Sus scrofa: one gene and its partner. The protein of the gene in region 2 purifies or fractionates together with the protein of the main gene of each other region. This does not show direct contact. Links are inferred from orthologs where the notes say so. Each region holds a gene or a part of one and is shown on either strand. Other genes may lie near its edges.

The links. The genes of interacting proteins can lie anywhere in the genome.
Region 1: the proteins of FAM174A (region 2) and SLC39A7 purify together in Homo sapiens (co-immunoprecipitation; 3 studies listed by BioGRID and IntAct, with this or other methods). This does not show direct contact. The link is inferred for Sus scrofa from reciprocal best matches to the Homo sapiens genes FAM174A and SLC39A7.

What each region holds. Positions count from the first base shown.
Region 1 is NC_010449.5:25,241,101-25,245,839, forward strand, and holds the start of SLC39A7 (zinc transporter SLC39A7), read left to right. Parts: upstream 1-1,761; 5' UTR 1,762-2,015; exon of another isoform or gene 2,016-2,325; 5' UTR 2,326-2,329; coding exon 2,330-2,740; intron 2,741-2,828; coding exon 2,829-2,997; intron 2,998-3,144; coding exon 3,145-3,198; intron 3,199-3,330; coding exon 3,331-3,495; intron 3,496-3,645; coding exon 3,646-3,786; intron 3,787-3,992; coding exon 3,993-4,189; intron 4,190-4,739. Other genes in the region: RXRB (retinoic acid receptor RXR-beta), read right to left, coding at 397-644, 1,323-1,554. UniProt on the Homo sapiens protein: Transports Zn(2+) from the endoplasmic reticulum (ER)/Golgi apparatus to the cytosol, playing an essential role in the regulation of cytosolic zinc levels.
Region 2 is NC_010444.4:106,553,297-106,558,302, forward strand, and holds the start of FAM174A (membrane protein FAM174A), read left to right. Parts: upstream 1-1,945; 5' UTR 1,946-2,191; coding exon 2,192-2,628; intron 2,629-5,006.

The sequences.
Region 1 (4,739 bases), on a different chromosome or scaffold from region 2:
CACTGCAGTGCCCATGAAGGGCCACCCCCAATGAGCACAACCCCAAAGAGGATGAGATATAAAGGTCCCCCTGAAATTGTGCAACACAATGGCCCCGAAGGCTTGTATCTCAGAAGGGCAGCTGGGACAAAAAGGGCAAAAAAAAAAAAAAAAAAAAAAAAAAAAAAACAATCACTAATAGATGGAAAGGGACATCAAGAACACCTGGGTTCTTTTATAGGGTCGGGGAGGAGGCATGTACTGAACGATCAGTCACTTCAGGAAGGGCAAGGGGTCTCGAAAGGACTTCAGGCCTGGCAGGTCAAGGGGCCATGGGGAAGTTCACTCAAGGATGTGGAGTCACAGGAAAACAGGAAATGAAAGTGGAGAGGCAGGAAGTGGGTCACAACCTCTCACCTGGGGACTGCTGACAGGCCCGGAGAATCCTGGGGGAGCTGGAGGGGGCAGACCAGGGGACCCCATGGAAGAGCTGATGACTGGAAAGGGGGAGCCCAGTGGGGGGGGTGGCATCGGGGGTGGGGGTGGGGCCCCAGAGCCTCCAAGGGATGCAGCTGCTGAAGGTGGTAGGGGTGGCCCAGGAGGAGAAGGGGGAGCGGCCCCCTGGGGAAGGGGATTTGGGGAGGAACTGTCTGGGCTTCGGGAGTCTGGGGAGGGGTACACACAGGCAGACACAGACAGGAGAGACAAAAAGAGAAAATGAGTCTTCGATCATCCAACCGGAGACTTTTAATTCTTTCTCTGATCCCCCACCGCACCCCCACCCCACCCCACCCCACCCACCCCTTCCTAAGTTCAGAGGTACCCTGCTGTCAAACAACGGCTTAACTCCTAACTGTGGTGAGAGGAAGGGGTTGCCAAAGAAGAGGACAGTTCAGGTGAGGCACGTTCCAAGCAATGCATTTGGTCACCCCAGGCCTGGGGCATCTCGTGTGGGTGGGGCAGCACGTGGTGTGGACCAGTCAGCACCTCCATTCCCAGTTTGGAGCCAAACCAAGCAGGGAAAAGAGACAGGCGGAAGAGACCCCTCCTAGGACGCAGAATCTGCCTTCAAACGTCCAGAATCCTCAAGCTCAAGGTCTACTGTCCCACTCCTGGGATCTCAGGAGTGTAAGGCCTCAAGCGGCCGGCCACCCCTCGGACGGCGGAAGCTCCCCTTCCCCGCCCCGCCCCGGGGGGAGGGCGCTAAGGCCCTCGGGAGGGAGGGGACGCGTGTTTACAAACAAGGGGGCGGGAGCGCCTGGGAAAGAGCATCAGGGGAGGGGGGGTAGGGGCTGCTGATAACGCGGTCACTGCCTTGCCTGTCCGTCTGTTAGGACACTCACCCCGCCCGCTGTCGCCCATCCCGTCCCGTCCAGCCTGCCCCGGCTCCGGCTCCGGGGTTTGTTGTTCTCCGGCTGCCGCTGCCGCCGCCGCCGCTGCGGGATCCAGCCAGGGCCGCCGCCGCCGCCACCGGGACGCGACCCCACAATGCATTTCTTTTCGCACCCCCACCGGCCCACACTGCCCTGCGGCATGCCGCTGGGGGAGGAAGGGCGGGCGAGCCGCCCAAGACATGATTCCTGGCTGAGTGTAGGGATGCCGAGAGGGTACCAGGGATTCTCAAGAACTGATCGGGGAATTCGGCTAGCACGAGGAAGCCCCAGAGAAAAAGACTTTGGCCTGAACCGAGTCAAATTAAGCGCTTCGCTCTGCTCTGTACCCAAATGACAGCGCCGATGTGGCAGCCATCTTGGTATAGACGGGAAGTCTCCGCGCTAGTTCCCGCCCCCTCGTCTAGTTGGAAACCGAGGAGGCGGTCTCCTCCAGCCTGTTAAGCGGCCTCGCCCAGCATCCCCTCAAATAACCTCCACACTCGCGCGTGCGCGCCAGGACAGGCGCGCTTCATAGCTACCGGGATGCGGCCATATTGGTAAAGTATTGGGACCAAGGTAGAACCGAATTCCCTGTTCTCGCGGGAGCTGGAGGTGGGACTGCCACGTCCGAGCAAACCGGGAAAGGAGAGGATCCCGGAGCCGGTGAGAATAGCCCGCTTTTCTCTGCTGTCCTTTCCAAGCCTTTTTTCTCAACTAGTGGGCCATAGAGACGAGGGCCCAGAGAGTCCAAGAGTGGAGGATCAAAGCCTAGAGCGGTATCCCGGGGGCCCTACATCCGGGAAGGGGTTCGGGATAAAGAAAACGAATCTTGGGGACAATGTGGGTGGGGACAGAATGGGACGGGGAAGCGGTCCATAGACGTGGACAGAGGGCGCTATCGGAGTAAAGCGGACCCTGTATAGGTATACAGTTGAGGGTCAAGTGGAGTCATTGTCTGTGTCCCTCTGGTCAGCGTGATGGCCAGAGGCCTGGGGGCCCCCCACAGGGTGGCCGTGGGACTGCTGACGTGGGCAGCCTTGGGGCTGCTAGTGGCCGGACACGGGGGTCATGGCGACCTGTACGAAGACCTGCAGGAGGACTTGCATGGCCACAGCCACAGGCATTCACATGAGGATTTCCACCATGGACACAGCCATGCCCATGGCCATGGCCATACTCATGAGAGCATCTGGCATGGGCATACCCACGGTCACGATCATGGACATTCACATGAGGATTTGCACCATGGCCATATTCATGGCGACTCCCATGAGAGCCTCTACCACCCAGGACACGGACATGACCATGAGCACAGCCATGGAGGCTATGGGGAATCTGGGGCTCCAGGCATCAAGCAGGACTTGGACACTGTCACTCTCTGGGCCTATGTGAGTCCCCCGGGATGGGGCAGAGGGGGGCGAGTTCTGGATTGTTGGGAAGTCCCACACCTCTTGACCCCTGACTTTCCCTCACTAGGCACTAGGGGCCACAGTGCTCATCTCTGCAGCTCCATTTTTCGTCCTCTTCCTTATCCCGGTGGAGTCCAACTCACCTCGGCACCGCTCTCTGCTCCAGATCCTGCTGAGTTTTGCTTCGGGTGGGCTCTTGGGAGATGCCTTCCTGCACCTCATTCCTCATGCTCTGGGTAAGTGACCTCAAATCTTAGAGTGTTTTATTCTTTGAATGAGAGGGTTCTTTCCTCTTTGTGATCCCTGACCTTCTAGTGTCCCCCCAATACACACCTTTTGTGTGGGATATTCCCTTATCTAACCTTTTCCCCCACTTCTTCCAGAACCCCATTCTCACCACCCTCTGGAGCAGCCCGGACACGGACATTCCCACAGTGGTAAGGAAGGGGAGGATGGAGATAATGGTTTGGGGTGCTAGGGAAGGTCTGTCCCTCCCTGTTCTCCTCTACTTGGGGAGGAAGAGTCTGGAATCTATATTTCTCTTAATGTCTCAATGTGTCCATCCCCAGGCCAGGGCCCCATTCTGTCTGTGGGACTGTGGGTCCTCAGTGGAATTGTCGCCTTTCTTGTGGTGGAGAAATTTGTGAGACACGTGAAAGGAGGACATGAACACAGTCACGGACATGGACATGCTCACGGTCACACGCATGGAGGTCATGGACATGGAAGACAGGGTGAGCCTAGGAAATACTTTAATGAAAACCGTCTTGCCTACCTCTGAATCTGCTCATTTTATGGCTCCTGGGTGGGAGGGGACTCCCCTTTTGAGGACATATTGGTAGGTCTCCATTCCCCACTCTTACCAGCTCCTCTTTTCCCCTCAGAGTGTCCTTCAAAGGAAAAGCAGAGCTCAGAGGAAGAAGAAAAGGAAGCAGGGGCATCGAGGAAGAGAAGAGGAGGGAGCACAAGGCCCAAAGATGGGCCAGTGAGACCTCAGCATTCTGGAGAGGAAAAAGCAGGGTCAGGTGAGGGCCAGGGTTGCATACACTTGGACAAGGGGCATCATCACGAGTTACATGGAAAAGGGCTGTGGGTAATGGCAGGTGTCTGGAAACACTGGGGCTGGGCATGAAGTGGTCTCTTGGGGGAGATGTGATAATGGCTGACTAGGGTTCGGACTAGGGTTGAGGAGTGCCTCTGATTGTTTCATCTTTCTTTTCTCCTGTACAAGACTTGCGTGTGTCAGGGTATCTGAATCTGGCTGCTGACCTGGCACACAACTTCACGGATGGTCTAGCTATTGGTGCTTCATTTCGAGGAGGTCGGGGGCTCGGGATCCTGACCACGATGACTGTGCTGCTACATGAAGTGCCCCATGAAGTGGGGGACTTTGCCATCTTGGTCCAGTCTGGCTGCAGCAAAAAGCAGGTTGGTGTACCAGACATGGTTGTCTCAAGCCCTTTACCCCCTGCTCACCCAGCCCAAACTCAGACTGCCACCCATTAGTTCCAAGCAAGTTGTACTACAGGCCTACCTAGTTTGATTGTGCTTCTTTATTGTACTTAACAGATATTGTGTTTTTTACAAACTTGTGACAACCCTGTGTTGAATAAGTCTGTTGACGCCATTTTTTTCCATCAGCACTTATTCATTTCATGTCTCTGTGTCACAGTTTGGTAATTCTTGCAATATTTCAAACCTTTTCATTTTTATCTCATTTGGTATGTTCATCTGTGATCAGTGATCTTTGATGTCATAACGGCAAAAAGATTGTAACTTGTTGAAAGCTCAGATGAAGATTAGAATTTTTTAGTACCTTCTTTTTTTTTTTTTTCTTTAATGGCTGCGGCCGTGGCAATGGTAGTTCCCAGGCTGGGGATCGAACCCTTACCTTTGCGGCGACCCAAGCTGCTACAGTCAGATTCTTAACCCACTGTGCCACAGCAGAAATTCCATAAAGTAATTTTTAATTAAGCTG
Region 2 (5,006 bases):
CCTGCTCCTAGTTTCATAATACTTTACAAATAATATGGTATTATGCAAAAACACAATAATTTGCTGGTACTTAAGACCCACAGCAATATAAAAATAATTCCTTTCCAGGAGCAGGTTACAGAAGAACTAATTAATGACAGAGTCATTAGATAAATGGAGAAAATTTAACAACATTTAGATTCAGGTGGTGAGGGAAAGCAGAGATTCTTAAACCTTAATGCAATTAAAAATCATCCTGTTAGCTTAATAAAATGCATACAGAGTCCACGTCCCCAGTCCCAAAAATTCTGGCTCAGGATTTCTGGAATAGTGACCTACAATCTGCATTTTTAACAAATCACATTTCTGATTCTGAATAGCTAAGAGTCACATTTGGAGAAAAACTAGAACATGATATGTTCTAATTAATTTGGAACCATTAGTTTGATTTTGCTACTTCAGAATTATTTGGCGCTTTGCATGGCTCAGTTACTGACAAGGATTGTTGCAGGTGGGAAGCAAAGGTAAAGGATGACTCCAAGATTTTATGCCTTAACACCTGAATGAAGAATAATGCCATTAATCAAGATGAGGAACACAACAGTAAAATGAGAAATTGTAAGAAAGGAAAGATGATGCACTTTTTTTTTTTTTTTTTTTTTTGGCTTTCAATGAGTTAATTACTGGACTTTTTTGAGAAGTAGAAGGAAGTGGCATTACATACTAACCCTATTCCATGTATGGCTTTGAATAAGGTTGTTAATAAAGGAGACAGGAAACCCAAGGAGCCACCTCATTACTGAAAATGCCCAGGTAGGAAGCTAAAATTGGGGTGTGTCACCAATGGATTTCCTCACACTAGAACCCAGCATTAAGACACCGAGGCCTTGTAATTCTACACTGCAGAAGCAACTGCATTACTCTGTCACCCTGAAGCAGGCAGAAGACACTATCCTGTCCACCTTATCTACAAAAATCCTTTAGAAAAATTTTATTGTAGATTCTATACCTGTTATTTACGACACACTTCCAAATTCAGAATGAATGCAACTGTTCATTGTGTTATCTCCATTTGAACCTAAGTGCTATAAGAGCAAGGACCATGTCCTACTCCTCTACTATTCAGTACTCAGACACAGTGCTAAGCAAGGAGTGAAATATCTGAACAATGCTAAATGAATAATTTTTTTAAAAAACAAATACTAACTTCAACTTCTGGTCTGGTGTTTTGTTTGTATGTTTGCATCTGCTCAAATCAAAGTTCCACGTCACTGATGTCAACGTTAAACAGGCAAAGAAAACTTTATTCAACATTATTGCAACAGAGGAGAGAGGCCAGGACTCTGATCTCAACTCACCAAAAAGTAACAAAAAACTTAAGAGATTTAAGAACAGGGAGCACCTCAGGCCAATTATGATTACTAAATGAAATTACCCAAGAGAAAAGTAAATTTTTCTTTCAGCTTCCTGACAGGAGATAGTTCTACAACTCTGAACAAGGTGCCCCCCTAAATTAGGCTCCTACCCTTCCACAGAGACTGGGAGCTAGTGCTATCTTTGTTGACATTTCAAAAGGATGGCTCCTAATTCTTTAATAAAGAGCCCTGGATATTAACACCACCAATACCGTTTTAAAGATTTATATTTCAAAAACACAGAAAATAAATGCACAGTTACAAGTTTTCTAACATCAATGCTCTAAGGAAGAAAGCCGTATAAAATTTGTACCTGAGCTGAGGGAAACGTCAAAGCGGTCTTAATAAACAATAAGCTGCATATCTGCAGTTTTGCACAAACGAACTCAAATTAGGAGCTTCCAATCTCTTAAAGTATTTTCATGCAAAGTGTTGCTGCACATTTTACACTACTCTCTTTTGTTTACTTTGTTACTAGGGAACCAACCACAGAGGGTTTCCCCTGGCCCGCAGGCAGGGTGCCTGCGCTAGTGGCCTTGCGCGCCTGACGTCACTAAAGGCGCCGTCCCTGGCATGTTAGCAACCGAAAGCGTCCCTAGTAGCAGGGCTGCTGAGATGTACGAACTTCCGGTTCTCCCGGCAGCTGCAGCAGCTGCCGCCTGTGCCACCTGCTGCGGCGGGCCTTAGCCCGGGATTTGGTCACCCTTTCTTCGTTCTTCGCTGCTCCCATGGTCCCACCTGGAGCCAGGGCGGTGGGCCCCGAAGCTCCCACGTGGTGAGAGGGCCGTCCGGGGACGATGAAGGCAACGCACTATCGCTGCTGCCTCAGCCACCTCCTCGCCTCCGCCCTCCTGCTGTTGCTACTACTGCCAGAGTTGAGAGGGCCTTTGGCGGTGCTGCTGCAGGCGGCTGAGGCCGCGCAGGATCCCGGGCCTCCAGACCGTGGGCCGAGGACCCTGCAACCTCTGCCACCTGGCCCCACAGCTCCCCAGTCCCCAGGCCGCGCTCAGGCCGAAGCCACAGGACCACGGGGCGCAGAGGGCGGCAATGGCAGCTTTCCTGGGGCGGAGCTTGCTGCCGACCCAGGCGGGAAGGCGGGGGAAGAAGGCTCAGTGGGTGGCGTCCTTGCTGTGAGCCCTAACCCCAGCGACAAGCCCATGACCCAGCGGGCCCTGACCGTGTTGATGGTGGTGAGTGGTGCGGTGCTGGTGTACTTCGTCGTCAGGACGGTCAGGTGAGGCGAAGCCTCGATGAGCCTCCTTTGCAGGCCCAGTGAGTGACCTGGCATTGCCCTCTCCCCGCCCCCAGTATCATGGGTGCAGACCTGTGATAACTGTCTTAAAAACCTGTGGTACCTTTGGGAGAATTTAGACCACCAAGTGTTTCTCTCTTTCATTTATAAATTATAAATTAGTACCCAATTTCTAAATCAATATTTATATGAGTAACTGAATGGTAATACGGAATGATCTTATTATAGTATTTTATAAAATGTAAAAGAAGAAAAGTTCTTTTAGCAGCAGTTTCTTAGTGTTGGCTTTTAATCCGTCACCTTAATAATTTTCTTGTACCATATGAAGTTTTATACATTCCACCTTTTTTGATCTGGGAAAGTGAAAATTTGGTATGACAGTCACTAATAGTGACTAATAGTCACTGATATGACTTTGTCATAGTCACTATTAGAAACATCTAGGTATTCATTTTGCATGCCACAAAGTAATCCAAAGCGAAGTGTTACTAGTTGCATGATAAGATGGAAAACTGTTACCTATGCATCAAAGGGGAAAAAAATGTCATAAATATGATCTAGTTTTAATATTGGAACGTATGCTTAATATCCTAACAAAACTAAGTATATCTGATTTTAAATTTACAAAAATTTGAATTAGTAAATCAAATTAGTAAATTTGATATTTCACACACAAAAAAACCTTTCTAAAATGAAGTCATCTATAAATAGCAATCCCAAATCATTCAGAAGTTTAATTTTCAAAATGAGTATTTTTGAGCCTATTCCTACTACAGAATGTTAGATTGTAGAATTATCTGAATTTCAGATTCCATACAGATATGGACACTTAATGACATCTTTCACTTTACATATGATGAAACTGACCCAGAAGGGTAAAGTGATTTAACTGGTGTCCTGAGGGATCTAATAATCTTCTGTGATTGTACAATCCACTGTTTGCTTTGTTTGAATTTTTTTTTTCCATTAGCACAGTTTCTATATCTTAACCTATGATCAACCTTTTGATTAAGTAAACCAGGTTATTATGTTGTACCAGGTTATGAATAAATGTAGATGACTGTCACTTATTTTTCTACTCCCCTTAATGCCTTATCAAGTAGAAAAGGAATTAAAAATTCCTATTAGTGATATTGTTATTGTTATAAGCAGCTCTACTTGACACATTCCATTGTTACTGAAGTGAAGTTATATTATGGCACCAATCATTTTAAAATATTCTATGTAATAAGACTGATTTGGAAAATCTATTATAAAGCCTCTTTAGGTTAATTGGGGACCACCTTTTTGAAGGGTTGACATGCGAAGTCAAGACCTCAGTGTTAGAAGACCCAACCAAGAGAAGAGCTGAGGAAACATTGTCTAGTTTCCTCCTTTATAGAGTGTAGGTTTACAGGAATGCAGAGGTTTATTGTTTTAGAAAATAATTCACATTTTTTAATATGATTGCCTACCTGTACTATTTCATATATATTTTAAAATAGATTTAAATTGAAAGTTTCATTTTAAACATCTATTTATTATCTTGTGAAAGGAAAACCAACATCCCTTGGCTTAAATAACTAATTTTAAAAGTACTATGTAAACCAGTGGTTCTTGACATGTGGTCCAGGGAACCCTGGAGGGTATGAGGGCTCTCTGAGCCCTCTTCCTGGGATCTGTAAGAATTATTTTCAAAGTAATATATTCTCTTATAGGTTTATAGGTTCAAATTCATTGATGTAGTTTCAAATTCCACAGTGCGACTAACTTTTAAGAAACCACCTCATGTTGAGTTTTGCTATTACTATCAAAAAAGAAAAAACACCAGTATCTACCATATTTTTTTTTTTCCCACTGTACAGCAAGGGGGTCAGGTTATCCTTACATGTATACATTACAATTACAGTTTTTCCCCCACCCTTTCTTCTGTTGCAACATGAGTATCTAGACATAGTTCTCAACATCTACCATATTTTGTACATTGTTCTATACTGGGAATATAGTAGAGAATAAGACGGACAATGAGTCTTTTCTCATAAAGACTATATATTAATCTTAGAAAGCCTACTTGGTTCCTTCTATATATTTTCCAGTTTCTACAGAGGTGATCTAATTGCTGTTTGGAATATTTCCCAAGTTATTTCTAGTTACATATTTGTTATAACTGAATTAGAGTAAAACAAAACAATATGGATGTTTCATGGAGTTCAAGCATTTTACAAGTGAGATATTCTTGGTGTTTTCTCATGTCATTTAATGAAATGATTTTAGTCCATTCTTCCCTCTTGGAACAAATAAATGATTCTGGTGTGCCATCACACATATTTTGGAAGGGGGGGTGTCAAAGTGGGCATTCACCAAAATGAATGATTTTCATC